Macaca fascicularis: one gene and its partners. The protein of the gene in region 4 interacts with the protein of the main gene of each other region in a pairwise test. Links are inferred from orthologs where the notes say so. Each region holds a gene or a part of one and is shown on either strand. Other genes may lie near its edges.

Region 1 (3,957 bases), on a different chromosome or scaffold from region 4:
CTTCGTTGCTCAATGGTTCCATCTTTGGCAACTGGGAGCTCTTTCAGGTGGTTCCTGTGTTTAAACATTCTCCCATCAAGACAGGATTCGTTTATTTTTATTTTTTATTTTTTTTCTTCTCATTCAATTGAGGCAGCGTCTCATTCTGTCGCCCAGGCTGGAGTGCAGTGGCGCGATCTCGGCTCACTGCATCCTTGACCTCCCGGCCTCAAGTGATCCTCCCACCTTAGCCTCCCGCGTAGCTGGGCTCACAGCGCGTGCCACCACGCCCAGTTAATTTTTTTTTATTTTTTGTAGAGATAGGCTTTCACCATATTGCTCTGGCTGGTCTCAAATTCCTGGGCTCAAGAGATCCGCCCCCTTCGGCCTCCCAAAGTGTTAGGATTACGGGCATGAGCTACCGCGCCCGGCCCGATTTTTCCTTTCTTGAGTATCACTTCCTTACTTTTCAGCCTCAGCCTTGTTTTTCAAGGTGCTTTACCATCACCTGACACAATCCACACTTTATGTTTATCTCTCCCCGTTAAAGTGCCGGGACCTGGAGGGAGGGTCTTGGCAGTGTTTTTGAGCGCGGTGTTATCCTGGGAATACAAGGGGCCGCTCAGTTGATATCCAGGGAATGATGAGCCTGGCGGGTGTTGAGGCCGACTGGAGATGGGTTGGCCAGCCGGGTTCTGGGAAGGCTGTGCTCGGCCTCTGTGTGACCGCAGGCTCCTCGCCCGCCTCCTCGAGGGTCCGGCGGATGCAGGACCTGCTGCAGCCTCCGCAGCCACACCCACGCTCAGAGACCGCTTCCAGCGTCCTTGCCGCAGAAACGCACCGGACTGCAAATGTCACCGGCGCAGCGGGGATTCCCGGGGAAAGTCCATCGCACTCCCTGATCTGGGGACCAGAGGATGAGCGGAGGAAGTGTCTTGGGCGGCTAACATCCCACTCCCTGCGCCGGTCCGCGCCGCCCCCGGGAACGCCCCGGGGCTCGCGGGAGGGGCTGGAGCGAGTCCCCGGCTCCGGGCGGTCCCGAGCGCACGGACTCCGGGTGGGGCGGGAACCCGTGCTCTGTGAGCCGGCTGCTGCCGCGCCCCGGCGCTGTCATCCCGGGGCGGGGCCTGGTCCCCAGCTGTGGTAGCTTCCTAAGCGGCGGGGGCTGAGCCGGCGGCGCCCAGATGCGGCCGCGGCGGCGCGGAGCTCGGGCGGCTGTGGAGGAGCCCAGCCTCGGCCGCAGGAGGCGCCGGGAGCAGAGCCGCCGGGAGTCGCGCAACAGGTTTCCTTCCCCATCGCGGCGCCCACAGGGGACGCGCGCCCTGCGGGGAGAGAGGCTTCTCAGTTCGCGCTCTTGTTCCGGGTCCAGGTTTGTTTTTCTCTCCCTGAGCCCCCATTTCTCTTTCTGACCCCCCATTTCTCTTCCTGACCCCCCATTTCTCTTCCTGACTATTCCCCGTGCGCTGAGAGATCCGGGAGGCGGGCGGGGGCACTGTCTGGGCTCGGGACCCGCGGCTGCACCTTAGTTGGGATTTTGGATCTGGCGCAGGTCCTCACGCCGCCTCTGGGCACCTTCGGAAACACAGGATTGGGTTCCTCATATAAAGCGGAATGATTTTTAAAAATTACTTTTAATTTCAGAGGCTGAGGGATTTAGGATTTAGTGCTTCACAGGAGTTATTTTAGGGATACCTGTCGGTAGGCTGCCTTTTAAAAGTGTCCACCTAAGACTAATTTTATTTTAAATCGAAAGACTGAAGTGTTTTTGTGTTATCACCTCTTCACTTCCTATTAGGGTGACTGTGTCAAAAACACCAGAATGGGTACTTCTTGACTTGAACTTGGCAGTGTCACTCAGTAGCCAAGAAAGACGGAGAAATTGATAGAGCCTTGGAGCAGTCCCTTCGCAGCCCACGTAAGACTTTGTTTTAGAAAAATGGAGAGAAGTAGTGGCAATGCCTGCGAGAACCACGCCGTCCTGAGAGGGAATTCTGCCTTTTTCTAGACTCCGCTGACACCAGCTGAGATCTGTATTACTTCCTGTGGTTCTCACGCGCTTGTTTCAGCCGTTTCTCAGCAAAGGGAGGAGCTGTTATTTACAGGTATCCAAAAATGAGTCACAGGGCTGCTCTCTTAATTGTGAGACTTTGTTAATGAACTTTTGAAAAGCGAGGCTTGCTCTGTCTGTATTTAAAATGAGACTGTAGATGTGAAATGCCTGCCCTGCTGACCTGGGGCAGTGGTATGGGAAGTGACGATTGAGTTTTCAGTTTCCTAAGGCGCCTGATGTTACAACATGCCAGTAAAGGTCACTGGGTTGATTTAAGATAACCATTAAAATCATGTGCTTTGCCTCAGAAGCCCGGGAGAAAATTAATTTCATTATTCAATGACCATTTTGCTACCATTTTCACTGAATAGTAGAAATGTATCATTTAATGTGGTGACTGTAAGTAACTCTCTAAAATCAAAATATTTCAGACAGTGTGTGTTTACTAAATTGATGCCAAAACCACATGGTGCTTTTTGAAGCGGGTGGGTACCCGCGGGAGCAGAGAAATTTAAAAGTTGAAGCTGACAGGCCCCACTGTGGTGGGTAGCAGCACCTAGGAAGGGACTGCACACTATCTCAACACGGTAGAGAAGGGAGCACCATCTCTACTGGAGCTGAGTTGAGCTGAATTCAGTCCCAAACAACAGTTAACAGGTACTTTCTCTGTGCCAGCCTCTTCCCTGAACCTTGCTTGTACAACCATGAATAATAGGATCCCGCTGACAAGGTGCTAGGGTAAATCTATACCCAGAGTGAAGTTTCTGTCCCAATATAACTCAATCTGCTGGGTTCCAGTGTATTTAAAGAGTAAACTCAGCAGATTACCATCCCTAGATCATTGCAGTCACCTTTAGTTAGCAGCGTGACTTTTAGGAAATGGTATGACTAATTAATAGGTTGTTTTGTTTTGTTTTTTGAGACAGAGTCTTACTCTCTTGCCCCAGACGGGAGTGTAGTGGTGCAATCTTGGCTCACTGCAACCTCCTCCTCCTGCGTTCAAGCAATTCTCGTGTTTCAGCCTTCCAAGTAGCTGGGACTACAGGCACCCACAACACCCAGCTGACTTTTGTATTTTTAGTAGGGACAAGTTTGGCCCTGTTGACCAGGCTGGTCTCGAACTACTGACCTCAGGTGATCTGCTTGCCTTGGCCTCCCAAAGTGCTGGTATTGCAGATGTGAGCCACCATGCCCTGCCTAATACTTTATAAATTTGTAACACTATATTGAAGCAAGTTTTTGATCATTGTTTTTGTAGTTCAAATCAATGTTTTTTAGCACATTATAGCCTTGTGAGCCAAAATGAATAAATCTACCATATCACAGTTTACTGTTACAATTGAAATCTGCTGAGACACTTTTGAACTTGATGCCCAAGTATCAAGGTTTCCAAGTTTCCACAGTTTGCTAAGATATCCAACTAATAAAGGCAACACTGCTAAATTTCAGACAACTTTACCTTAATTTCCAAACTTTATTCCTCCTTTGAGAGCCCTGAAGTTACTTTTTCTATGAGAAAGGGTTGAGTGTGTCATTCAGCATTGTACTCCCTGAACTTGTCCCAGGCTCGACTCATGAGAAGTGTTGGAAAGTGTTTATTGATGAAATAATGAACCTTCATGTAGGAGGATGAATTGGCAGGCAAGTGGAAGGCTCGGTGACCCAGCAGAAGGAACAGCACCCATAGAGAAGTGAAACAGCACTGGACATTCAGGAAACTCCAGCCTGTTTAGTGACAGCACAGAGCGAGGGCTGGGGAGACAGGAAGGGCCAGATCACAAAGGCCCCATGAGGGTTTATAGTACTGAGCCCTTTGAACAAGTGAATGATATTGTCAGGTGTGTGTTTAAAAAATTATAACAAAAATTGGAATTTAAAAAATCTTAGATTAGATGACAGTGGCATTGACTTTAGGGAGACACCTTGGA
Region 2 (4,011 bases), on a different chromosome or scaffold from region 4:
GGGAGGCCGAGGTGGGTGGATCACAAGGTCAGGAGATTGAGACCATCCTCACCAACGTAGTGAAACCCCGCCTCTACTAAAATACAAAAAATAAGCCAGGCATGGTGGCACATGCTTGTAATCCCAGCTACTCGAGAGGTTGAGGCAGGGGAATCGCTTGAACCTGGGAGGCGGAGGTTGCAGTGAGCTGAGATGAGATCACACCACTGCACTCCAGCCTGGTGACAGAGCGAGACTCCGTCTCAAAAAAAAAAAAAAAAAAAAAAAGCTTTGAAACAAGAAGGGTCAGAGAGAAAAGAAAATCTGAGGAAACTGATTAGGCACACTCACCTTCGAAGGGTGAGATAATGGTCCAGGGCTCGTCTTCTTGTGGGGCTCATGGGTGCAGGGGCTGAGACAGTTGCTGACTCCTCAGCCTGTGGGCCAGCCCCAGGTTCAGGTTCCCTACTGATCTTCCCGCTTTGGAGTTCGACCTCTGAGGGTGGCACAGGAGAAAGGGAGACAGAGGGACCAGGGGCTTCTGGTCTAGGTAGAGAAGAATAGTCTGTAAAAGCAGTAAGGGAAAGGGCCAACTCTCCTATGACTCCCAACCTCTTAAAACAGTGTTTCTTAAACTATATTTTTCAAGATATTAGTAAGTTCTGCATACAAAGGATTTTAGAATCATGAATTTGGGAAAGGCTAGCTTTAAATTTTACAAGTTTTTTTTTTAATTCTTAAGACTTTGTATAGCTTTTAAAACTGTTACTCTTTTTTTTTTTTTTTTTTTTTCTGAGATGGAGTCTTGCTCTGTCACCCAGGCTGGGGTGCAGTGGCCAGATCTCAGCTCACTGCAAGCTCCGCCTCCCGGGTTTACGCCATTCTCCTGCCTCAGCCTCCCGAGTAGCTGGGATACAGGCGCCCGCCACCTCACCCGGCTAGTTTTTTGTATTTTTTAGTAGAGACGGGGTTTCACCGTGTTAGCCAGGATGGTCTCGATCTTCTGACCTCGCGATCCACCCGTCTCGGCCTCCCAAAGTGCTGGGATTACAGGCTTGAGCCACTGCGCCCGGCCTAAAACTGTTACTCTTCAAGTAGAATTACAAAGTGCCATTTCCCAAACTTTATTTAAAAATCACAAAATTCTCCTTTTCTTTTTCTTTTGAGATGGAGTCTCACTCTGTCACCTAGGCTGGAGTGAAGTGGTATGATCCTGGCTCACAGCAACCTCTGCCTCCCGGATTCAAGCAATTCTTCCACCTCAGCCTCTTGAGTGGCTGGGATTACAGGCACACACCACACACCCAGCTAATTTTTTATATTTTTGGTAGAGACGGGGTTTCACCATGTTGGCCAGGCTGGTCTTGAACTCCTGATCTCAAGTGATCCACCGCCTAAGCCTCCAAAAGTGCTGGGATTACCGGTGTGAGCCACCGTGCCCGGCCAAAATTCTCCTTTTCTTGAAACACTAAGTAACATCTCCAGAACGCTAGTATTCCTCAGAATACAGACTGGAAAACACTTTCAGAGCCCTCTATCTCCTTCCGAGCCTTCCTACCTCTGGCTTTCCCCTCCCATACCTGTACTTCCGGCGGCAGCAACTGTTATAGTGGGGAGCTCTGTGCAGAGCACTCTGGGTGATAAGTCGTGTCTGGGTTAGCAGAGGAGCCTGGTAAGAAGATGGGAGACAGAGTCAGAGCCTTCAGCCCTCTGCCCTTCCAGCCTGGTGTGTGCAGCAGGGTCTTGCCTAGAACACACTCTCCACTCTCTGATTACCTCAGCTTTGGTTTCTTCCCTCCTCAATTCATTCTGATGTCTTGGATTCTGCTTCCTTTCCTTTCCCGGCTGCTTCTTGCCATAGAAAAGCTGCAAGCCTGAAGAGAAAGGGAAACAGAATTAAAAGCATAGCACCAAGGCTGGTGTGCAGAGATTTCGATTTATTCCCCATCCCCTGTCTTCCCCCGAACTTACTGGACAGATGTTTCTTGCCTGCACGGTGGGCAGTCAGCATGGCCAGGGTGTCCAGTACCGGTCGATGGGGGCAGATGGCACAAGCAAAGCTGAGCAGGGGTAGAGAAGAGGATAACTGGTCCAGGGGAAGAGGGTTGGGCCTGTCCCTGCCGTAAGTCCCACCCTGTCCTAGCAGTCTTTGCAAAACCCAACTCCCTGGTGACCCAATCTCCACTTCTTCCAGTCCTCACTAGCCGCCAAAGAATCCTAGATACTTCTGCTGTCCTAATTAATAACAAAAGTTTGTTGAAGCCGGGCGTGGTGGCGTGCGCCTGTAATCCCAGCTAATCGCGACGCTGAGGAGGCAGGATCACTTGAGCCCTAGAGTTCAAGGACAGCCTGGGCAACACAGCTATTGAGCCTCTAACCGCAAAACCCTCAGGCTTGAGCCACTCCTCGCTCTTACCGTCCATCCCGAAGCATCAGCGCCTCATCCTCTGGGATGTAACTGGCGAGGAGGTCCCCGACTCTTCTTTTCTGCAGGGAGTAGGGGAAGAAATCCGGACGGATCAGCAGGATAGGAGAGAGGGATGGAAGTTAAATGACAGAAATGAGGAGTCAAACGGAATAAGGACATAAGGACCCTGGGGAGAACAGCGATCATAGACCGAAAAAGGAGTCACTACACAGCTCTAAGTCGCCTGGTTCTCTCCTGCACCCCCGAGTTGTTGCCAGAGCAATGAAACAACGCTCCTTCCCAACCTTCAGAGAGCGACTGAAGAGGCTGCAGATCCTCTCCGCTCACGCTTACTTTGAGCACATTGAGTTGACTCCAATCGTCTCCTTCCCTCTTGAAAGACATCACGACTGTGAGTCCCAGAGTGATAAATTTTCTTGTTCCGGTTTCGCCACTCCTCTAGGCCACCGTAGCAAGAGCGGGACAGCGCCTTCTCTTTTCTCTTTGTCTTCCTGTCGGCCCCCGTACTTCCGGGAATGCACTTCCACGCATGCATTGCGCCATCCGGATATCCACTCTCTGGCGCGTGGAGGGAACTGCATTTCCTATGGTGCCGTGCGACTCTGCAGACGCGACGCCTTTTGGGAAATGAAGTCTTTTCCTCAAAGACCTTGCCGCTCAGCTGGATCCAGGCCCTTGCATCTTGGTGGATCTGAGGCGTTTAGAGGGACAAGAACCTAGATGTGGAGCCGAAATTTGAGGGTGTGACCTATCTGATGCGGAGCGGACCTGTGAGGATCTCTGAGTGGAAGGTGTACTACAAATTCTCGCAATCCTCACGCTCTTCGTCTGCGGCGACAGTTCACCTGGGGTGGGCCTGATTTGTTCCTGGCTCTAGCAAACAAACCCCGGGACCGGGCAGAGCTGGGATGTGGGAGCGCCCTGAGGCCAGGCTACTTGGGGGCAAACTGAGGAAAGAGTGTTGAGGATTATTTCTAGAGTTCAAAGGTCAGAGGTCAATGTAGCGAGGAGTTGTGGGGGAGTTCAAAGTCGGAGGGGTGCTTAGGGGCGAATCAGGGAGGGACTGAATACTCAAGGGACAGATTTGTGGATAAGGAGTTGGAGGGAGGAGAAACCGGGAGGGGGCAGGTGGCGTAGTGCTGGGGAGGCGGGGACACAGGGGAAGAGAGAAGGGGAAAGGAATCCCCTGAATATCTATTCCCAGACTTCAGGCCTGTCACTCGCAGTCTCGGTCGGGCCTCCCCTAGTTGCAACCTAGCTGTCGGCAGGGTGAAGAGATGGCTTCCCCGTCTAGACAGCCCCCGCCAGGGGGGTCAGGACTGCTTCACGGGAGCCGGGCTCGTTCATATGGAAGCCTGGTGCAATCGGCCTGCTCCCCAGTGAGGGAAAGACGCCTGGAGCATCAGTTGGAGCCCGGAGACACCCTGGCTGGACTAGCACTCAAATATGGGGTGACGGTGAGTTTTCCAGGATTGGGGTGCAGACAAGAGTCAGGAGGGATTTAGTCCTGAGAAGAATGTAGTGGACCTTCTAGGTAACCTCCCCTGAAATGTTCCTAATGTGTTGAACTCTGTTCTGCCTTTATCTTTGTTTTCCCATCACAG
Region 3 (4,189 bases), on a different chromosome or scaffold from region 4:
TCGGATTCATCAACAAACACAGCGCCTAGCACAGAGTAGGGGGCTCAACAAATATGTGTCGACTGCATGATTGCTAAGATTTTACTGTGTAACAGGCGGTTTTATTTCTTGTCTCTCTCATCCCTCCTGCCCTGGGTGCAGACCGCAAACAGCGCCGCCGAAGTTCCCAACAGGCAGGGAGAGGGCCGATCCGGGTTGGCACACCACGTCCCCGGGGTCTCAGTCCCTGGGTCAACGCAGAGGGGCTCGCGGTCCGCGGCGCTGCGACCTGAGCCCCGGCCACGTGAAGCGTCACGCCCTGCGCTGCTGCAGGGCAGGCGCCGCCGCCGCGGTTGTGTAACGCTGCAGCCGGAGGGGAGGCGACCCGGGCGCCTCTGCTCTGGAGGGGGCAGAGGAGGGAGGGAACACCGGGCACCGTGCCCGGTATCTTTCTGTGCTTGACTGGCCGGGAGGAAGGGGGTGACACTGGGGCACCCAGGGGGCTGCGCAACCAGGTGCCCGCCCGCCCGCAGGCTGTGCCCGGGAGCGGAGCTCCTGGGGAGCGAGGGGCCCTCGGCTCACACCCTCCTCGGTCAGGTGCGCGCGGCGTGCTCGGCGGCAGCCTCAGCTGCCCCTGCGCTTGGCTGTCTGCCCGCTTCCCATGGGGTGACATCCGCCCCGCCCCTCGGTCCCTCCCCAAGGCGGGCAATTCCTGGACGCGAGGGTGAGCAGTGGGGGCAGGGAAGCCAGGACGGAAAGAAACCCCAGCCTCTGGGGAAGGCTGGGGGGCCGGGCGACTCCCTCCGCTGAGCGCCGGTTCCTCCAAGCGGGCCGGGCGGGGGAGGAGGAAGAGGGCTGGGCTGGAGCTAGCAAGGGGATATTCCTCTCCCGGCTTGAGTCAGACGCGGGCGGATCCGTCCTCCCCCGTTCCCTCCCAGGAGACGGGAACTTACTTCATTTCCCTGGGGCAGGTTCGCCCACGTTACCAACTCTCCCCCTCCCCCAGCAGCCCCGTCCCTTTCAGCTTCCGCGCCCCCCACCCAACTGGGCAGGACCCAGGTTGCGCTGCCACCCCCTCTTCGGGGAAAGGCGGCCGCAGCCGCAGACACCTGGGGGCCGGGGCTGGGGGTGGGGGCTCCCTAGCAGCCGCCGGAGCGTTGTCCAACACGTGAGACTCATGTGATGAAGCCGGGGGAGGGCGGGCAGGTCGCTCCTTCCCTCCCCGGCAGTGGCCAGACGTGCCTGGAGTCACAGGGTAGAACACGTAGCTCCAACCCACCCACTCGCTCCCATTTAACCCAGCCCGCAGCCTCTCCATTACTCCTCGGCTTGTGCCCCCACCCCCCCTACTCCGCCCTAACCGCCCCCCCCCACCCGCTCCCTCCCGCCTCCCCGCCCGCCCCACTTCTCATTCACTTGGCTCGCACGGCGCAGACCGCGCAGGGAGCACACACCGCCAGTCTGTGCGCTGAGTTGGAGCCAGAGGCCGCGGGGACACCGGGCCATGCACGCCCCCAACTGAAGCTGCATCTCAAAGCCGAAGATTCCAGCAGCCCAGGGGATTTCAAAGAGCTCAGACTCAGAGGAACATCTGCGGAGAGACCCCCGAAGCCCGCTCCAGGACAGTCCTCATCCAGACGCTCCGCTAGAGCAGACAGGAGCGCGCAGTGGCCCCGGCTCGCCGCACCATGGAGCGGATCCCCAGCGCGCAACCACCCCCCGCCTGCCTGCCCAAAGCACCGGGACTGGAGCACGGAGACCTACCAGGGTAAGTTGGCACTCCTTGGCCCTTCAAGCCTCAACTCCAGCCCCATGTTATGCGCCACTCTCAACTTGGAGCAGCTCCGGGCGCACCGGGGGGTTCTTGCCCGGCAGAACGCCTGCAGCCGTGCGCAAGCAGTCACGACCCTTCCTGGTCTCTCTTCCTGCAGGATGGATTTTGCCCACATGTACCAAGTGTACAAGTCAAGACGGGGAATAAAGCGGAGCGAGGACAGCAAGGTAAGCAAGTGCACCCCTGGGGACCCTGCGCTCAGCCCCTCGCGCGCGCTGAGTTTCCAAGAAAAGTTTTCTCGCTTTGAGGTTGGCGAGGGTATGCAGGGTGTGGGCTCGGTGCCTCTTCTGAGTGACTTGGAAAAGAAGGGGCAGATGATGGTTCTGGGTGCTATTCTGCTCCTCTGCCGGACTCGTGCTGCGGGGCTGGGAGGATAGGCTTCTCATCTCCTTTCCCAAGCGCCCACCGCCTCCCCGTGCGTCTTGCAGGAGACCTACAAATTGCCGCACCGGCTCATCGAGAAAAAGAGACGTGACCGGATTAACGAGTGCATCGCCCAGCTGAAGGATCTCCTACCAGAACATCTCAAACTTACAGTAAGTGAGAAGCTGGCCCCTTTCCAACCCAGTCCTTTGCCCAGAGGGCGGGCGGGGGTCACTCGCCGCCTGCAGGTTCCGCGGGGAACTGCAGACCAGACGGGCGGATCAGAGCTGGCGGGTGGCTCTGTGGTGTGGTCCTCCTCCACAGTCCTTGCGTTTTCTGGCTGACTCATGCAAATGAGGCGAGAACCGCTTGGACCTCTCCAAGTTGGCTACAACACCAACTGGCCTTCCTTTTCAAGAGTTTAACTTCTGGTGATTTTCAGGATTCCCTAGTTTTTCTAACTTAAAGGAACACGCCAAGCAACACACACATTTACCCCTTTCCCTCCACCACTCCCCCCACCTTTTTTTTTGTTGTTAAATAAGTGGACTTGCTTTGGTGTGTGATTTTTACGGCCTGTCCTTTCTTGACAGTAGCCCTCAGCTACTTGGCAGCCTTTGGTTGGGGAAATGGAAAAAAAAAAAAAGTATTTTGGGAGGAACAAAAAAGCCTGAATGAGCTGGAAGTTCTGAAAGGGTGTAAGGAAAGAAGTAGGGAAAGCCTATTGGCTGCCAGACATAATAGAGGTCCCTCTCTGAGTTGACACCCCTGCAGAAAAATGTTATCTCTGGATTCCCCTGAGTTAAGGTCAGCAGAGGCTGCTGGAGAAATTTATCTGTCAAAGCGTTTTCCTGAGGTAGTTGCAGCTTCCAAAATGCCTCCAAAGAGAGATGGCACCCTTTTTTAAATTATTTAATCATATATATTTTATATATATGTGTGTTAGAACAGCCAACGAAGAAAGACTATCCACTTTTTTTTTTTTCTTTTAGAGACATTTCTCTTTGCTAAGAAATATCCCAAAGGTGGGACTTCTTTGACCTCACCGCTGACTAAGGCTCTTTTCCTTCTAGACTTTGGGTCACTTGGAAAAAGCAGTGGTTCTTGAACTTACCTTGAAGCATGTGAAAGCACTAACAAACCTAATTGATCAGCAGCAGCAGAAAATCATTGCCCTGCAGAGCGGTTTACAAGCTGGTGAGTGCTGATTCTGGCTCTCCTCTTTTTAAGAGTTTGAGCACAAATAGAGAGCCTGTGGGCTCAACATCTGATGGAATAAACATTACTGCAACAAACTGCTTATGCACCTTCATTGGGGGAGATGCAGTTTTATCTTTCCTAAAAGGTCAGACTTTTCATTTGAAATGCAGTGTGCCACCTGGCATGAATACGTATTAGTGAAATGATAAGATATTCCTGTGGCATTTTAGCTTGAGAGTCTCTGGGTTCTGGGAGATTTCCCTACTCCCTTTTAAAATGCCAAGGCACCTATAATTTGCCTTGTGGGTGTTTTACAGTTGGTCTTCTTAGCCCTCTTTCATTGGAGAAGAAATCGTGGGTATGCCCCAGTGTTTTCCTGTTTCTTTGCTTCCTTGTCACTTGGTGTGTGGTGTGATCCTGGCAGGATACAGCAGGAGTTTTTCCTGCATTTCATGTGGTTCCCTGAATAGCCACTAGGTATCATGGTAAATTGCACAATCTAGCGAAACCACTGAAGTTTCATCATTCGTTTCAACAGACTTCCAGATAATCGGAGTCACCTAACCTTCTAGTCTCACTTCTTCCAAATAATACTGTACTGACTGGGGAGAATTATTCTACCCACTCCCTCATTTCATTCTCTGCCTTCCTCTCCAAGGCTCGTATGATGAAAATTGCAAAAACCCAGCAAATGCTTCTGCCAGTTTCCTCATTAAAAATAGGAAGATGGTCATACCTAATGTCTTGAGGATCATGGATAGAATATGTGGAAAAGATATAGAAATAGAGAGCCTAATTAAAGATAACAGCATG
Region 4 (3,500 bases):
CACAGCTAAGCTCGTCCCTCGTGCCCCCTCTTTTGTGGGCAATGGGAGAGGACCAGGTGGGCGTGGAGGCGTCTGGAACTAGCAGAGGTGGTGAGTGGGGCAGGAAGTGGAGGTGGGAGCAGACCTGGGACCCCGGGTCGGGGGAGACTCGGGGTGCCCAGGATGGGAAAGGGGCAGCTAGCATTGCGTGCATGCAGTACCAGGGTGAGAGCGCAGTGGCGTGTGCCCCGAGGGGCCCGGGCAGACTGTCAGTTACACGTGTTCAAAACAGGGGAATGGCCAGGGGTTCTGGGCTTCTCGAGGTCTTGCTCCCTTGGGACCTGGTCTCCCATCTGACCCTCCAGGCCTCAGCTTGCCTCACATGTCAGGGCAGGTATCCACCTATCCAGGCTGCAGGGGAGGAGGAGGGAGGCCGGGACTGGGGTAGGAAGAAAGCTAGAGGTGGCCTGCAAGTCGGACTGGGGCCTCCGCAGGCAGCCGCCATAAATACTATGGGAGTTTAGCCAATCCCGAGCTCCACTGTGTCTTGTGCTAAACATTCTTTCTCTCCGTGCCTCTGTCTCCCCTCTGTCCCCCCTCCCACCCTCCCCGTCCCGGCCCCCTGCTAATCCGACTTCTCGCCGTCATCCTCCTGGTGGGTGTCACCGTCGTGCCCGTTCTTGTCTTCCTTGGAGAGGTGGGCCTGGGAACCCAGCGCGGACAGCGAGAGCAGGCCGGTGCCTGCACTGACCGCCGGCAGCGAAGGCGGCTGCAGCCCCACAGGCAGTGGGGTCAAGGGCAGGGCCAGGGCCTGCAGCTGGGACAGCTGGTGGGCTTGGAGCTGCTGCTGCAGGACGGGGGAGGGGAACGTTAGCTGCCTAGGGCCCACCTGTCCCCCGCCCACCCGCCCAGGTCCCCATACGTACTCGGATGATAGAGTTCAACTCAGGAGCGGTGACCTGCTTGGCCCTCTCGATGGCTCCCAAGACCTGCTGCTGGTGCTGGAAGGGGGTGAGGAGAGAGGAGAGGCAGTGATTCCTCCTGATCCTGACTGAGAGAGGAGGCGGTGGCTACCCTGGGGCCAGGAGGAGCCCCGCTACCAAGGGGGCCATCATGTCTGCTCCTCCCAGTGGTTTTCAACCCCATCAGAAAGCGCCTTCCCTCTCTCCAACTGCTTCCTTTCACCAAGCTCGTCTCTTCATCTGGCCAATGGAGATAAATGGAAAAGTGCAGAAAACGATTAAAAGGGTTTTGTGCCAAGTAGTTAGAAAACGGCCTTTGAGTGAGTCTGGGAGAAACCCCGGATCCTGACCTATCCTATGTCCGCAGCCATGTACAAAGACGTGAAAGACGTGAATATTTGTGCAGTACACAACCTGCCCAACTGTACAGGGATGTCCTGATCCTAGGAGCTCCAAGACTGTGCCCTGAGTCCGGCCAAATTGAGCCCTTCTCCTACCATGGCTGGAGAGGGCCCAATGAATTCTGGCAGAGCCAGCTGGGGAATGGGCCTAGGTTCAGGGCAGTTCCTCCCCCAGCTCTCCCCAAACACCTGACTCTGTGGCCAGCAGATGCTAGAATCTATCAATCTCCCTTTTTGCTTTGGCCACCAGGAAGCCTCCGTTCTGAAGAGTTCCAATTGCCCTTTTCTCTAGGGCTTTCATTGGGTCCTTCTAGACTTGTCCCTGGGCAAAGCAGGGCACCCAAAGGATCCTGAGATACAGCGATTAAAGAGGAAATTACAAATTTTTGACAGTAAACTTGGCAGGGACAGGAGATGGGCCTTACATGGCCCTGGGGAGGGGCAGCCTTGCATCCTGAGCCTCAGAACCCAAGAAAGGAGAAGAGAAGCTGGGCATCAGGTTCCTCTGGGTGTGTGTGCATGTGGTAGTGTGTGCTCAGGATCACATGTGCTTACGTGTAGCTGCACATTCCTGCGTGTGTGGCCCTGTGCTGTCTGCACACGCCGTGTATCCGTGTGTGTCTGCGTCTGTGTGTGTATCTCCCGTATGTTGATGTGCTCATACCTATCTATGTGGCTGTGTCCATGGGGGACCGCCCTGTGCTACCCCATCCCCGCAACACACCCTCTAGTCTTTGGTTCTGTGCCACCCGCAGGGCCTGAAGGATGTTCTCAAGAGGGTGAAAGGAGGAAGAGATGAGAAAAAAACATTCCTGGTGCAGTTTTGGCCCATCCGACATTTCTACCTATGACATGACTCACTCTAGCTGGGAATTCCAGAGCAGGGTGAGGCCCGGCCCCCACACCCCTGTACCCCTGGAGTGTCTCTGGCCCAGGGATTCTTCTGCATAGGCCAGCTCTGGTGCCCAGAGCCGGGGAGGTCCAGAGAGGGGAGGCATGTGCCCTGGGGCACCCAGCACGCCCCCCAAGATGGTTGCAGCAGACAGGGGCTGGGCAAGGGGAGGGCCCCCTGGCACCCCCTCCCTGAGGCCCTGGCTCTTACCTCTTGGGAGAGGTAGGGCAGGACCTGGGCACAAATCCCGTTCAGCCTTTTGACAATCTCCGCCTGGAACACACAGATGAAGTCAGCGTCAGTCCTGGATGGGTGGCAGGTGCAGGCCAGCCCCAGGAGGCCCGCACGGGGCCCAGCCCAGCCCTGCCACTTGCGGCTTCTCTCTAAGAGGGGCTAGGTCTGGCCAGGGTGGGATGAGCAAACCCGTGTTCGGGCCCAAGGGCAGCCAGTCAGTGGCAAAGGTGGGGCTGGAGACCGGCTGTCGCCTGCAGCTTGGAGTGCAGTAAATGCAGGATGAGGCCAGACTGCACATTCCTCGGCTACATTCCTCAGGGCTGGGCCACTCAGGCCCCTGGCAGATAGTGAGCGCTCGTGGGAATGTAGGGAGGGCTGGGGGCCACAGGTTGTGGGGAAGGTCTCCGCCTCTCCCGCCACCCCCAGAAAACACTCCAAGGGAGGCCTGAGAAAGAGGCGGTGGGGAGGAGAGTGGGAGCTTGGGAAGGGCTTAGGAGGTAACAGGATAACAGGGCTGGCTGGGTGCCCAGCCAAAGGCCGGCTGCTACCTGCCTGGGGGTGCCCAAGGGGGTGCTGGAGGCGGGGGGCAGAGGGGGAGGAGGGGGAAAGGAGAAGGAGGAGGAGGAGGAGATGGGCGTACCTGTTTGTGCATCTCGATGTTCAAACCGTAGGACATCTCATAGTACTGTATGGGGGAGAGAGAGAGGGAGCGGGAGATGAGGGCAGGGAAGGATGGGGGGGCATGGAGACAAAGAGATAAGGGAGTGGTAGAGACAGACAAAGGGGGGAGAGAGCAAGAGACAGCTGAGGGCAGGAAAGAAACGAGGCAGGTGGGAGGGAAAGAGCAGGAGGGAGAGACGCCCACACCCAGCGTCCCAGCCAGCCCGGGAGAGGGGCAAGGGGCCTGCTGGGGCTGCGGATGGAGACTGGAAGCACTTTAGGTCCCTAGCCCTGGCCTGGCTCCTCCCCCACTCCGTGTGCACCGCGAGAACACGCATTCCAGGGCTCCTAATCTTGTATCTTTCTATGATC
Region 5 (3,500 bases), on a different chromosome or scaffold from region 4:
CAAAATAAAGTTGTTCATGTTTGAAACAGAAGTTAGTTTCTAAGAGCTTCTTAGAATAATAAATATTGTTCTAAATGTGGGCAGAGAAAAACTCATAAAAACCTTTTTAAATCTGCTCTGTCCCCTCCAGTTCCTTGGAATAGGCTGCATGCTCTGTCCAGGGCTCTGTGATATTGCAAGCATGTGACTCCTTACAAAGCTAAACACAGAGCCCAACAGTTCTTGGGCAAATACTAAACATATGAATGAATAAAAGCATAAATGAACATCATCTCTTCATCCCTTCCAATAGGACCACCTACGTTATTTATAGGACTAGGTGCAAAAATGAGGAGACAGGGTCTCTTGTTAAAAAGTTATTAAGAATTTCAAGTCTGTGGCAGCACAACTTGAAATCAAGTATGAGACCTTAGCATAGCTGCACAGTTTGTACATCCATGAAGCTGGTCCTGCCTCCTACCACTACAAGGCCAAAACTGTTTCAGAGACTCAGTGGATAGTGTGAATTTGTTCAGCTCTGCTGTGTTCTGGGCAGTAAAGTTTTATTTTGAGAACTCTAATGTTTTAGGATTTTCCCATTAAAATTTAATTATCTTTACATTTAATTCTGGGGAAAAATGCTATTTCTGTATGTTATAGTGAAGGAAAACTGAACTTGGAATTAATGACCTGGGTTCTTCTGCTTCAACTTTCTGCACCTCAGTTTTTTAATAAAACAGTAGTAACAAAACAGGATTAAGAATAAGATGGGACAACACATGTAAATGTCTTGTACTCTATGAAGCACTCCATAGAAGTACGGTATTAGGCCGGGCGCAGTGGCTCACGCCTATAATCCCAACACTTTGGGAGGCTGAGGCAGGCAGATCACCTGAGGTCAGGAGTTCGAGACCAGCCTGGCCAACATGGTGAAACCCCGTCTCTACTAAAAAGACAAAAATTAGCCAGGTGTGGAGGCAGATGCCTGTAATTCCAGCTACTTGGGAGGCTGAGGCAGGAGAATCGCTTGAACCCGGGAGGCAGAGGTTGCAGTGAGCCAAGGTCATGCCATTGCATTCCAGCGTGGGCAACAAAAGCAAAACTCCATCTCAAAAAAACACAAAAACAAAAACAAAAAAAACAACAAGGTATTAAAGTCAAAGTAGGATACAGTCTGAAAAATGTTGGGCAATTAGATAAAATTAGTACCTTAGAATTGGACATTGCTGAGCAAATTAATTATGTAATAAAGTCCACATCTAACTATTCACTCACCCATGATATCTTTTTGGGAATTCCTTTCTTGACAGGCAACAAGCACAGATCCCCATTGCCACTGCCGGTGTTGTGTACCCGGGAGCCATCGCCATGGCTGGAATGCCCTCCCCTCACCTGCCCTCGGAGCACTCAAGCGTGTCTAGCAGCCCAGAGCCTGGGATGCCTGTTATCCAGAGCACTTATGGTGTGAAAGGAGAGGAGCCACATATCAAAGAAGAGATACAGGCCGAGGACATCAATGGAGAAATTTATGATGAGTACGACGAGGAAGAGGATGATCCAGATGTAGATTATGGGAGTGACAGTGAAAACCATATTGCAGGACAAGCCAACTGATAAGGGTCAAAAGATTGTTGTGACCTTAGGACTTAAAGAAGCCCTAACTGGTTCATCCTTACCAGTGGCCAAGCACATTAACTTTCTCATACACTGACTGTTACTTTAACTGTTAGTCTTAAATAGTTGGGACATCAGCTGACTAATAGACCTCAGCCTCAAAAGGCTTGGAAAGAAAAAAAAATACAACAAGCAAACAACAATATCAACAACAAGAGATTGAAATAAGCTATGGGTAAAATAATGCCAGTAATTCAGCTGCTACATCCAAGCACTGAAGTCTTACCCGTCAACTTTTTTTTTTTTTTAAATAAACTTTATGGCTGTTTGTTCTACAATGTTCTAGAAATTCTCACTCAGGTACACAGTGCCAACAAGTGGCTTGTGAATGTGTTTTGTTGTTTTGTGCTACAATTTTTAAAAAGAAATAAGTTTTGTTTTGTTTTTTGGGGTTTCTGGGTTTTTTCCTTTTCTTTTTCTTTCCTTTCATTTTTTTTTCTTTGTAATGCACCTGACAGAAAAAAAAGAAAAATGAATTTCTCTTTACTTCTCTCCACCTTCTCCATCTCTATACTTTAAAGATGGAAGTCTGTGCATGAGGGGGAAGAGGGAAAAAGAGCCTGTTTTTAACTTCCTTGCTATCCACCACAAAATAAGCAATTATTTTCTTTAGAGGACTTTCTTTATCTATTGCACACCACACTACATCTTTGAGCAAGTGCCAAATTTGTACTGAAGTGTTGACCAAGTTCATTTTTTCCCTTTACTTTTTCCTGTTCCTTCTTAAGTTAGGACAGTGTTAAATCTTAGACAATCCCTGAAAAACCTGAAATACCAGCAGCTGGTGAGATTTGACTTTTTTTTTAATGGAAACTGTAGGTGCTGTTCTCAGGTGAAAAGAGAGAGAGAGACATAAGAAATTTAGAGAAAAATATTTTCTGATCTTGGATTTTTGTGTGTATGTATGTGTGTGATTATGGTACTAATAGGAATAACGTTGGACCATTGTGAGTTAAACCCACATCTGGGGATGAAATCCCACATCCTCCCAAGTGACTGGTCTAGAAATAATCTTGACCTTGACTTTGCACTTCAAATGACAACTTAACCAAGTATAGGGCTCAGAAATTATATTTTTAAATGTCTAATATGATGATTATTGGATGGATCAGGTGGCCCTGTGTAATAGAGGTGTGCATGTATAACATGGAAGCTACTAGCAAACTGCTCCCAGATGTCCTTTCTCCCTGGTCAGTTGGTTCCATTAACGTTTGCTACTTAGTGATTTTTGTTTTTCCTGTTGATATTTCGAGCAAAACAATCATTGTTTTCATTGAATATATTTGGCCATTTTTCAGACAAATAGAATTAGCTTATTTCTTCAACATTCCATCCTTTCCCGATCAGGAAATGAAACTGATGATTTTACAAGGTATTTTTCACCCCTCCATGAAACGAGGTGGAGGCCTTTAGCATTTCAGAAGTGTGGGCCATGTGTAGTTCATGCCATAAAAAGTAGGATTTAATTAAAAGTCATTGCAGTCCAACAAAATGGAGCCTGGCTGCACCCAGGGATTCTTGTCACTGCTCTTCCCTTGCTGTCAGATGAATCCACTGAAGTCCAACTTTGGTTCGAGCAGAGTATTTGCGAAGAGCAACAACTGAATGTGATGGGACTGCTTATGTAGATTTTGCCAGCCAAATGCCAAGGCAGTTGTAGGGCCTGTACAAATAAATGCAAAATCATTTCAAGTCAATTGCCATTATTTGTACTGAAGTATCAGATAGTAAATACTGCAACTAGTAGCTCGATGTGCTATAGTTTTCACTCCAGTCATCATTTTCCTATCTCACCCCCCGAAACACCACCCTAAAGTTGGATTTTTACATATAAATAATGAAAAAAA
Region 6 (4,199 bases), on a different chromosome or scaffold from region 4:
CGTAGAAGCAATAGTTACTTGTGATGAAGTAATGTAGGTTTGTCTAGCTGTACCACTCAGGGCTGAGAAGTCCTACACACATTACTCTAAAATTGGGGTAACAAAAACAGTACCTAAATGAAGTTATGGCAGGAAATCAGGTGTGAAAACATGAGTCATAAAACAAACAAGCTCTGAGCAGACCACACAGAGGCTACCCTCTCCTCCTCCTGGTCCCACTGCTCCAAACCCATCCAGGCCTTCACTAAGTAGTGCTATTTGTGCTGGCTGCCTTGCAGACAAATCTCCTTTACCTATGTCCAAAGGAAAGTCAAAATGAGAAGTAGGGGCAAGATATTTGTCAAACTAGAATCAGACTCCAAGAAAGTCACATCAGAAAAGTCAAACAACAGACATCCAAATGGTGGTGGCGTTGTTAGTATACACCAGGGGAAGGGTCAGCAAATAACTAAGTCAATTATTACTGAAGCTCTGTGGTCCTCTGTATGGTACTTAAAGCCTCTGACTCTCTTTCCCAATCTATAAAATGGGAATGGAAAACATATCAAACTCACAGTGTTGTTTGGGTTTTAAAGAGACGGTCCATGAAAATTGCCTAGTACAGTGCCTGGTATACAAATGTCCAGAGAATATTAACTATCAATCCTGGATAAATTAAAGTTCAAAGACACACAGAGACAAACAAGATTTGACAGTGCGACTTGCAGAGCCAGGTCTTCTGACTGAAAAGCTCTTTTCTAGTCAGTACAGAAGAGTGACACAGAGCCAACAAAAGTCCTTGAAGGCAGAACCAAACCACATCGTGGTGGGTGGGGAACCCACTGGGAGGCAAGGGCAGGGCATTTGGGTCTGACACTGACACTAGCGGTTATCTCTGTGTTCCTGCTTCTGAGCCTTTCCTTGTCCTTTGAAGCCCCCAGTTCTTTCCATCTCTAGGTGTCTCCGTCAAGGACAGACTTAAGACTCACCAGAAAGCAAGCCAGACTGCTGGTAAAGTTCTAGAGACCTGATCTGGCATCACCGGCTTTGCTCTATTGGCTTTGAGGAAGCCATCAAAGCAAATGAAGACTGGTCGTCTTCACTGCATCTGCTCTGCGTACAGAATCCTTCTCATTCTAACCCACCTTGCTGGCAGTAAGTGCTTAGACAAGCAAACTCAGCTCATCAATACCATGAGGTTCTTTGATGGGCGAAGAGATGTTTCCTTTCCTCAGCTCCCCTTACTTCCTCTCCGCCCCCGACTAAACTCCCATCTTCTCTCGGTACTTCTCTCACCTTGTACTCCTGCACCACCTCCTCCAATGGCACCACGCTGTGCTGTTTGTGGCTCCTGGATTCTCGGCACACCACACAGATGGCCTCTTCGTCTACCTCGCAGAAGAGCTTCAGGGCTTCTTGGTGTTTGGGACAGATGCCCTGATCACTCACACGGCTCCCTCGACCAGGGGTTGGGTGCATCTGCCGAATCACCTGGACCATATTGGCCAGCTGCAGGTTGGGGCGGAAGCTCCGCCGAGGAAAGCTCTTTCGGCACTGGGGGCATGTGAAGCACCTCCGAGGGGCTGGAGGCGGGGGCAGTGGGGTGACGGGGTCTAGATCCTCTTCCTCATCCTCCTCCAGCACTTCCTCCTCGTCCTCCTCATCCTCCCCCCTCAGGTCCTCCTCCATGTCCCCCAGGTAGTAGTCCAGGTCTTCTTCTTCGTCCTCCTCCTCCCACACATAGTCCATGTTGTCCCAGCTGGACCTGCTCATGCCACTGGTCCAGAACACACCCTCTTCTTCCTCCTCGACCTCCTCCTCCATGTCACCCTCGTAGTCTTCATCCCGCATGGGGGTGTCCCACCCCGCGCCAGCCCCCACAGCCTCCACTTCCTCCTCCTCTCCGTCCTCCTCCTCCTCCTCCCGATCTAACTCATCTCTGTCCTCCTCATCCTCCCCACCCCACAACTGGGTTACACAAACTCGGCAGAAGTTGTGCCCGCAGCCGATGGACACGGGGTCCGTGAAGTAATCGAGGCAGATGGCGCACACCGCCTCCTCCTGAAGGGTCTGCACAGGGTTGGGTGTCATGGCAACGGCAGCCATCTTAGTGTCCAGCCAGCCAGTGTAGAGGTGCGGTGGGGGGGCGAGGGGCGGGGGTCTTCCCCACCGACGCCCTGGCGACCCGGCTCCACCCCCAGCCCTGCCCCTCCACACCTCGCCCCAAGGGCAGCCAGAGAGATGTCCTCCCGCCAACCCACCCCGCCACACAGTGTTCCCTACTCCCAAACGACAACCGCGTCTCTGCGAGGGGAGGGGACAGTGCTGGGCACCACCGCCAAGTCCCTCAGGTGGCTCTGAGTGCAAATCTGCCCCTATGCTCCTTGGACTCCTCATAAACCCCCGCCCCTCCTCACTTCCTGGCCCCGCCCCTAGCTTCCGGCCTCCTTCCCAATACTTCCGGCGTCTACACACCACCTAAGCTCTCGACTTCCCTCCGCTGTCGTGCTACTCCCCCTTTTTCCCCCGCGGGGCCCCAGGGCGACAGGAAATGGCAAGGAGACGCTCTAGCCCGCACTACAGAACAGGGCGGTAGGGCTAGGACGGTGGAGGCCCACGTCTCTGTGGTGCGGGACCGCGGCGAACGCAGAAAGAACAGAGGAACCGCCTACCCCCATCCCCCGCCGCTGGGGAGAAACTTCGGGGGGTGGGGGGAGCGCTTGGTGGCCGTCTGCTTTCGGTGCTATGACCGCATCGGCCAGGCGCCATCCTACCCTCCCGACACAGCCGACTGCAGCCGGTACGCCGCACCGCCAATGCCGGAAGCGAGGGGGTGGGTCCGCGGAGCGCCCTGAAGTACTTCCGGCCCTTCTAGGCAGAAGACTTTGTTGTGGAGGACTCAGAGGGTCGTACGGCTCGGACCGGGGGCGGGGCCTGAGAAAGCGCTTGGCCGATCGGGCCGCAGACGCCCAACCCTTCCCCAACTGTAGTCGGCGTTCCGCATCCAAGGTGGAAACTGCCAACCGGACACAGTCTCATGGTTTAGATGAACTTCCCTAACTGCCCAGCAGTAAAGAAGTGGTGACGAATCATTACATCTACATTCGCACAGCATCTCCGCAAAAATAGATGCTTTGTGCAGTAGAAATAATACTTGGTGCTTAAATAGCTCTTTAAAATTTATTTTTATAGAGATTTGATGTCGATACATAATAAAAAACAAATAAATGTTGTTTGATGCGAGGAAAATGACGAGGCAATGATTTATGTACAGAATCTCCAGTGAGTGCCAGACACGGCGTGACGCCAGGGCTGGGCCTACAGGACCTACTTACCCTGCTCTCGGAGAGGCGGCTCGCGGGAAAACTCCAGGGGGACGTCGTGCTTCCTAGAGGGGTCTGGTCAGGCCTCTGAGGATGTCAGATCAAACGCGCCAAAAACCACGAACACTCGTGGGTGAACTATGCTCGGCCATTACAGGAGCTGCGGACCCGGCTGCGGTAGACAAGTCTGGCTCCAGAACCTGGACACCACTTAGCCGGCCGCGGCAGGGGTCCCTGGGTCTGTCCCACGAGGGCGAGGGCCTAGCGCCTTCCTGGCCTTCGCAGCCACGTGTATCTTCAGGACGATGCTGGAGAAACGTTAGCTCAGGCGGTTTCCGTAGTGTAGTGGTTATCACGTTCGCCTCACACGCGAAAGGTCCCCGGTTCGAAACCGGGCGGAAACACGTTTTTTTGGGGCCTGTTCAGGAGAATTTCTCTCCCGAGGCCAGGTTACCGGGTTGGAAGGACATGTGTGGCCTGCGCTTCGGAGGAACACGAACTCATACCACGTCCTTAATAAATTCTCGCAGTGTAAATTCAGGTTTTACACCTCACCTAATCTCTTGCTCTTCCCTTCTGAAGCCTATGCAGCCATCACATGCAAAGGAATCCGTAGATTTCAGATCCTCGGCCCTAGTACCTAGAACAGAGCCAGACGCAGGCGCTTCTTAGTACTTGTACATTGGAAACGTGCCTACACCTCTGCGGGCAACCTCCGTCTTCAGAGACAAAGTTATAATGTTGGCCAAGCTGCCCGGCTAGCTCAGTCGGTAGAGCATGAGACTCTTAATCTCAGGGTCGTGGGTTCGAGCCCCACGTTGGGCGGAGTTCCTTTTGGAAAGGGTAAGGCAAGCCGTGTTACCTAAGTGCACGAACGGTATCTTCTGGACCAAGATC
Region 7 (2,771 bases), on a different chromosome or scaffold from region 4:
CAAAGCCAGAAAATGTGTCACACTTATACCAAATTAAGGATGTTACGTTACTAATATATGCAACTTTAATTTTGTTTAACACTGTCTGCCAAAATAAATTTTATTCCCTCTAACTTAAAAAAACAAAACAGTGATGTTGTTTGTTTTTTTTTCCCCTTGTCCCCACAGTGAGTGTCACCCTGGACCCACAGTCGGCCAGTGGGTACCTGCAGCTGTCAGAGGACTGGAAGTGCGTGACCTACACCAGCTTGTACAAGAGTGCCTACCTGCACCCCCAGCAGTTTGACTGTGAGCCTGGGGTGCTGGGCAGCAAGGGCTTCACCTGGGGCAAGGTCTACTGGGAAGTGGAAGTGGAGAGGGAGGGCTGGTCTGAGGATGAAGAAGATGGGGATGAGGAGGAAGAAGGAGAAGAGGAGGAAGAGGAAGAGGAGGCCGGCTATGGGGATGGATACGATGACTGGGAAACAGACGAAGATGAGGAATCGTTGGGCGATGAAGAGGAAGAAGAGGAGGAGGAAGAGGAGGAAGTTCTGGAAAGCTGCATGGTAGGGGTGGCCAGAGACTCTATGAAGAGGAAGGGAGACCTCTCCCTGCGGCCAGAGGATGGCGTGTGGGCACTGCGCCTCTCCTCTTCCGGCATCTGGGCCAACACCAGCCCCGAGGCCGAGCTTTTCCCAGCACTGCGGCCCCGGAGAGTGGGCATCGCCCTGGATTATGAAGGGGGCACTGTGACTTTCACCAACGCAGAGTCACAGGAACTCATCTACACCTTCACTGCCACCTTCACCCGGCGCCTGGTCCCCTTCCTGTGGCTCAAGTGGCCAGGAACGCGCCTCCTGCTGAGACCCTGAACCCTGACATCTGCCCCTGGCCCCACACCCTCAGATGCTTCACTTCTTTGGAATTCCAGGACTCTCAATGGGGGGAAGGGATGCCTGGCCTGAGCACCTGGAGCAGGGGACCCCATATCCACTGGCAGCCACCTCCCCGTCGCTCTGGCCCCCTGAGGTCTCACTCAGTGCTGTTGCTCCATCTACTGCCCTAATGGGGCTCTTCTCCCACCTCCTGCTGGTGTCCCGAGGGAACTTCTGACCCTGGAGCCCATGAGGGCTCCTTTCCTTTTTGACCACTACCTTGGCCCCGGCTCTGCACTCTCTGTGGAGTAAGGGCCTGACACAGCATTTTCTTGCCCACCGTGGCAAGACCTTGGAAAAAACAGTTGATTATGCCTAAGATCATTTTGCTGTCCTTAAACCCTACAGGTTCCTTCTTGCACAAATCCACTCTGGTGCCCGCCTTCCCTGGCGTTTTAAACAGACCGACCCCACCCCATCTCAGAGTTAAGCATACACGGCAATGCTGAAAATAAACAATGAAAATCCACTGAGGCTTCCCAAGCCATTTAAGGCCTGGAGTACCAGCGCATATCATCTCATGGGGTCCAGAGTGGAGTCCAGGCTTCTCTGAAACCAGGGCTGAGCATATTTCCATAGCCAAGGATGTGGGACTCCGTGGAGCTATCTGTGGTCTTAGAGAAGGATCCAGACATACACGGCTTTGGGGTACCAGCTGTGATCACTGATCAATAAATTATCTCTGGATTGGTCCTTGTGGGGGGAGTTTTAAGAATCCAGAACATCTTGCTCTTGATTAGCACATCCAAAAACACCAAGACAAATATCCAGTGGAACAGAACCTCCCCTGCCTGGGGAGTTCTGACCACGTTCCCCAGCAGGGTGTTAATCCACTGTCCCTGGCCCTACTCAGCCTCCAGGTTCCACTTTGCTAGGAGAGAGTGGAGATGGGAAGACAGGGAAAGGAAGGCAGCAGGAGGCCACAAGTCCACCAGGTCTTCATGTCAAGAGAGGGAGTAACGTGTCTCCTCATTGCCCACGGACCCAGCCTCTGTCCAGGCGCCCCTCATGGCCACAGTTTAACACAAGCTCCCTTGCTCCAGCCAAATTGATCTCCCAGTCTTGACCTTACCTATTCCAAATGCTCTGCCAGTCCCTGTTCATCCAAGTTTTAAGTCCTCCACCCTGTTGTAAGAGACTGTTCCGGGTCTCAGTGGTCTCTTGACCACCATTGTCTCAGAGCTGCCCACTTTGTGTGTGCCACATGCTGCCTGAGTCACATGTACATCTTATTTCTGCCTCTAGTTTTGTAAGCTCCTGGAGGGCGGATAACATCTTATACTACTCTTGTATTCTGATGGCACCTAGTGCAGTGCTGGGCACAGAGTAGGTGCTCAATAAAGACTTGTTGAATGAACAGTCTGGAAATGTATATCTGTAGGATCTATATGGTATCTCAAATGCCACCAGACCTCAGTCTGGCTACAGAGAAATTCCATTGATAGCAGTAGCCGAAGGTTTTCCTTCTGTGCCTTCTGTAACTATGTAACTTTGCTTTCTGTTCTCTGTTTGCACACGTGCTGTCATTTCTGGAAGTCCCTCAAAAAGAGCCTACTGCGGGACACAGACCATTTGTTGTGTGTCTCCACCTTGTTATTCCTCCTGCAGTGGTGCCCTTGAGCTGAAGTCCAGCATTTTGGAGCAAGTGATGACTCTCCCTGAGAAGGGAGACATCCAGTATAGCACCCCCAAAATTCTTCCTTGGAAAATAAGCACTGCCCCAGAGGAAATAGAATGTGCAGCCTTGCCTCCTAACACAGTCAACTGTTTTTCTTGTCCTTTCTGATTTTTTTTTTTTTTTTGAGACAGAGTCTCGCTTACCCAGGCTGGAGTACAGTGGCGCGATCTCGGCTCACT

The links.
Region 1: the proteins of TLE5 (region 4) and STX11 interact in binary tests that used the Homo sapiens proteins (3 or more experiments, as listed by UniProt). The two-hybrid records come from large-scale screens. The link is inferred for Macaca fascicularis from reciprocal best matches to the Homo sapiens genes TLE5 and STX11.
Region 2: the proteins of TLE5 (region 4) and SCNM1 interact in binary tests that used the Homo sapiens proteins (3 or more experiments, as listed by UniProt). The two-hybrid records come from large-scale screens. The link is inferred for Macaca fascicularis from reciprocal best matches to the Homo sapiens genes TLE5 and SCNM1.
Region 3: the proteins of TLE5 (region 4) and BHLHE40 interact in binary tests that used the Homo sapiens proteins (3 or more experiments, as listed by UniProt). The two-hybrid records come from large-scale screens. The link is inferred for Macaca fascicularis from reciprocal best matches to the Homo sapiens genes TLE5 and BHLHE40.
Region 5: the proteins of TLE5 (region 4) and SOX5 interact in binary tests that used the Homo sapiens proteins (3 or more experiments, as listed by UniProt). The two-hybrid records come from large-scale screens. The link is inferred for Macaca fascicularis from reciprocal best matches to the Homo sapiens genes TLE5 and SOX5.
Region 6: the proteins of TLE5 (region 4) and TRIM41 interact in binary tests that used the Homo sapiens proteins (3 or more experiments, as listed by UniProt). The two-hybrid records come from large-scale screens. The link is inferred for Macaca fascicularis from reciprocal best matches to the Homo sapiens genes TLE5 and TRIM41.
Region 7: the proteins of TLE5 (region 4) and TRIM26 interact in binary tests that used the Homo sapiens proteins (3 or more experiments, as listed by UniProt). The two-hybrid records come from large-scale screens. The link is inferred for Macaca fascicularis from reciprocal best matches to the Homo sapiens genes TLE5 and TRIM26.

The regions. Positions count from the first base shown.
Region 1 is NC_088378.1:48,361,255-48,365,211, forward strand, and holds the start of STX11 (syntaxin-11), read left to right. Parts: upstream 1-1,157; 5' UTR 1,158-1,348; intron 1,349-1,774; 5' UTR 1,775-2,081; intron 2,082-3,957. UniProt on the Homo sapiens protein: SNARE that acts to regulate protein transport between late endosomes and the trans-Golgi network.
Region 2 is NC_088375.1:110,052,990-110,057,000, forward strand, and holds the start of SCNM1 (sodium channel modifier 1), read right to left. Parts: upstream 2,801-4,011; 5' UTR 2,792-2,800; coding exon 2,741-2,791; exon of another isoform or gene 2,692-2,740; intron 2,467-2,691; coding exon 2,396-2,466; intron 2,040-2,395; coding exon 1,951-2,039; intron 1,854-1,950; coding exon 1,756-1,853; intron 1,649-1,755; coding exon 1,560-1,648; intron 545-1,559; exon of another isoform or gene 526-544; coding exon 331-525; intron 1-330. Other genes in the region: LYSMD1 (lysM and putative peptidoglycan-binding domain-containing protein 1), read left to right, coding at 3,685-3,864. UniProt on the Homo sapiens protein: As a component of the minor spliceosome, involved in the splicing of U12-type introns in pre-mRNAs. Plays a role in the regulation of primary cilia length and Hedgehog signaling.
Region 3 is NC_088376.1:143,199,272-143,203,460, forward strand, and holds the start of BHLHE40 (class E basic helix-loop-helix protein 40), read left to right. Parts: upstream 1-1,389; 5' UTR 1,390-1,667; coding exon 1,668-1,747; intron 1,748-1,910; coding exon 1,911-1,980; intron 1,981-2,241; coding exon 2,242-2,349; intron 2,350-3,249; coding exon 3,250-3,373; intron 3,374-4,189. UniProt on the Homo sapiens protein: Transcriptional repressor involved in the regulation of the circadian rhythm by negatively regulating the activity of the clock genes and clock-controlled genes.
Region 4 is NC_088393.1:3,755,860-3,759,359, forward strand, and holds part of TLE5 (TLE family member 5), read right to left. Parts: intron 3,154-3,500; coding exon 3,109-3,153; intron 2,508-3,108; coding exon 2,445-2,507; intron 981-2,444; coding exon 906-980; intron 827-905; coding exon 605-826; 3' UTR 1-604. UniProt on the Homo sapiens protein: Transcriptional corepressor. Acts as a dominant repressor towards other family members. Inhibits NF-kappa-B-regulated gene expression. May be required for the initiation and maintenance of the differentiated state.
Region 5 is NC_088385.1:26,250,571-26,254,070, reverse strand, and holds part of SOX5 (transcription factor SOX-5), read left to right. Parts: intron 1-1,289; coding exon 1,290-1,593; 3' UTR 1,594-3,500.
Region 6 is NC_088380.1:188,317,466-188,321,664, reverse strand, and holds the start of TRIM41 (E3 ubiquitin-protein ligase TRIM41), read right to left. Parts: upstream 2,801-4,199; 5' UTR 2,377-2,800; coding exon 1,276-2,376; intron 1-1,275.
Region 7 is NC_088378.1:142,476,630-142,479,400, forward strand, and holds the end of TRIM26 (tripartite motif-containing protein 26), read left to right. Parts: exon of another isoform or gene 1-128; intron 129-168; coding exon 169-851; 3' UTR 852-2,271; downstream 2,272-2,771.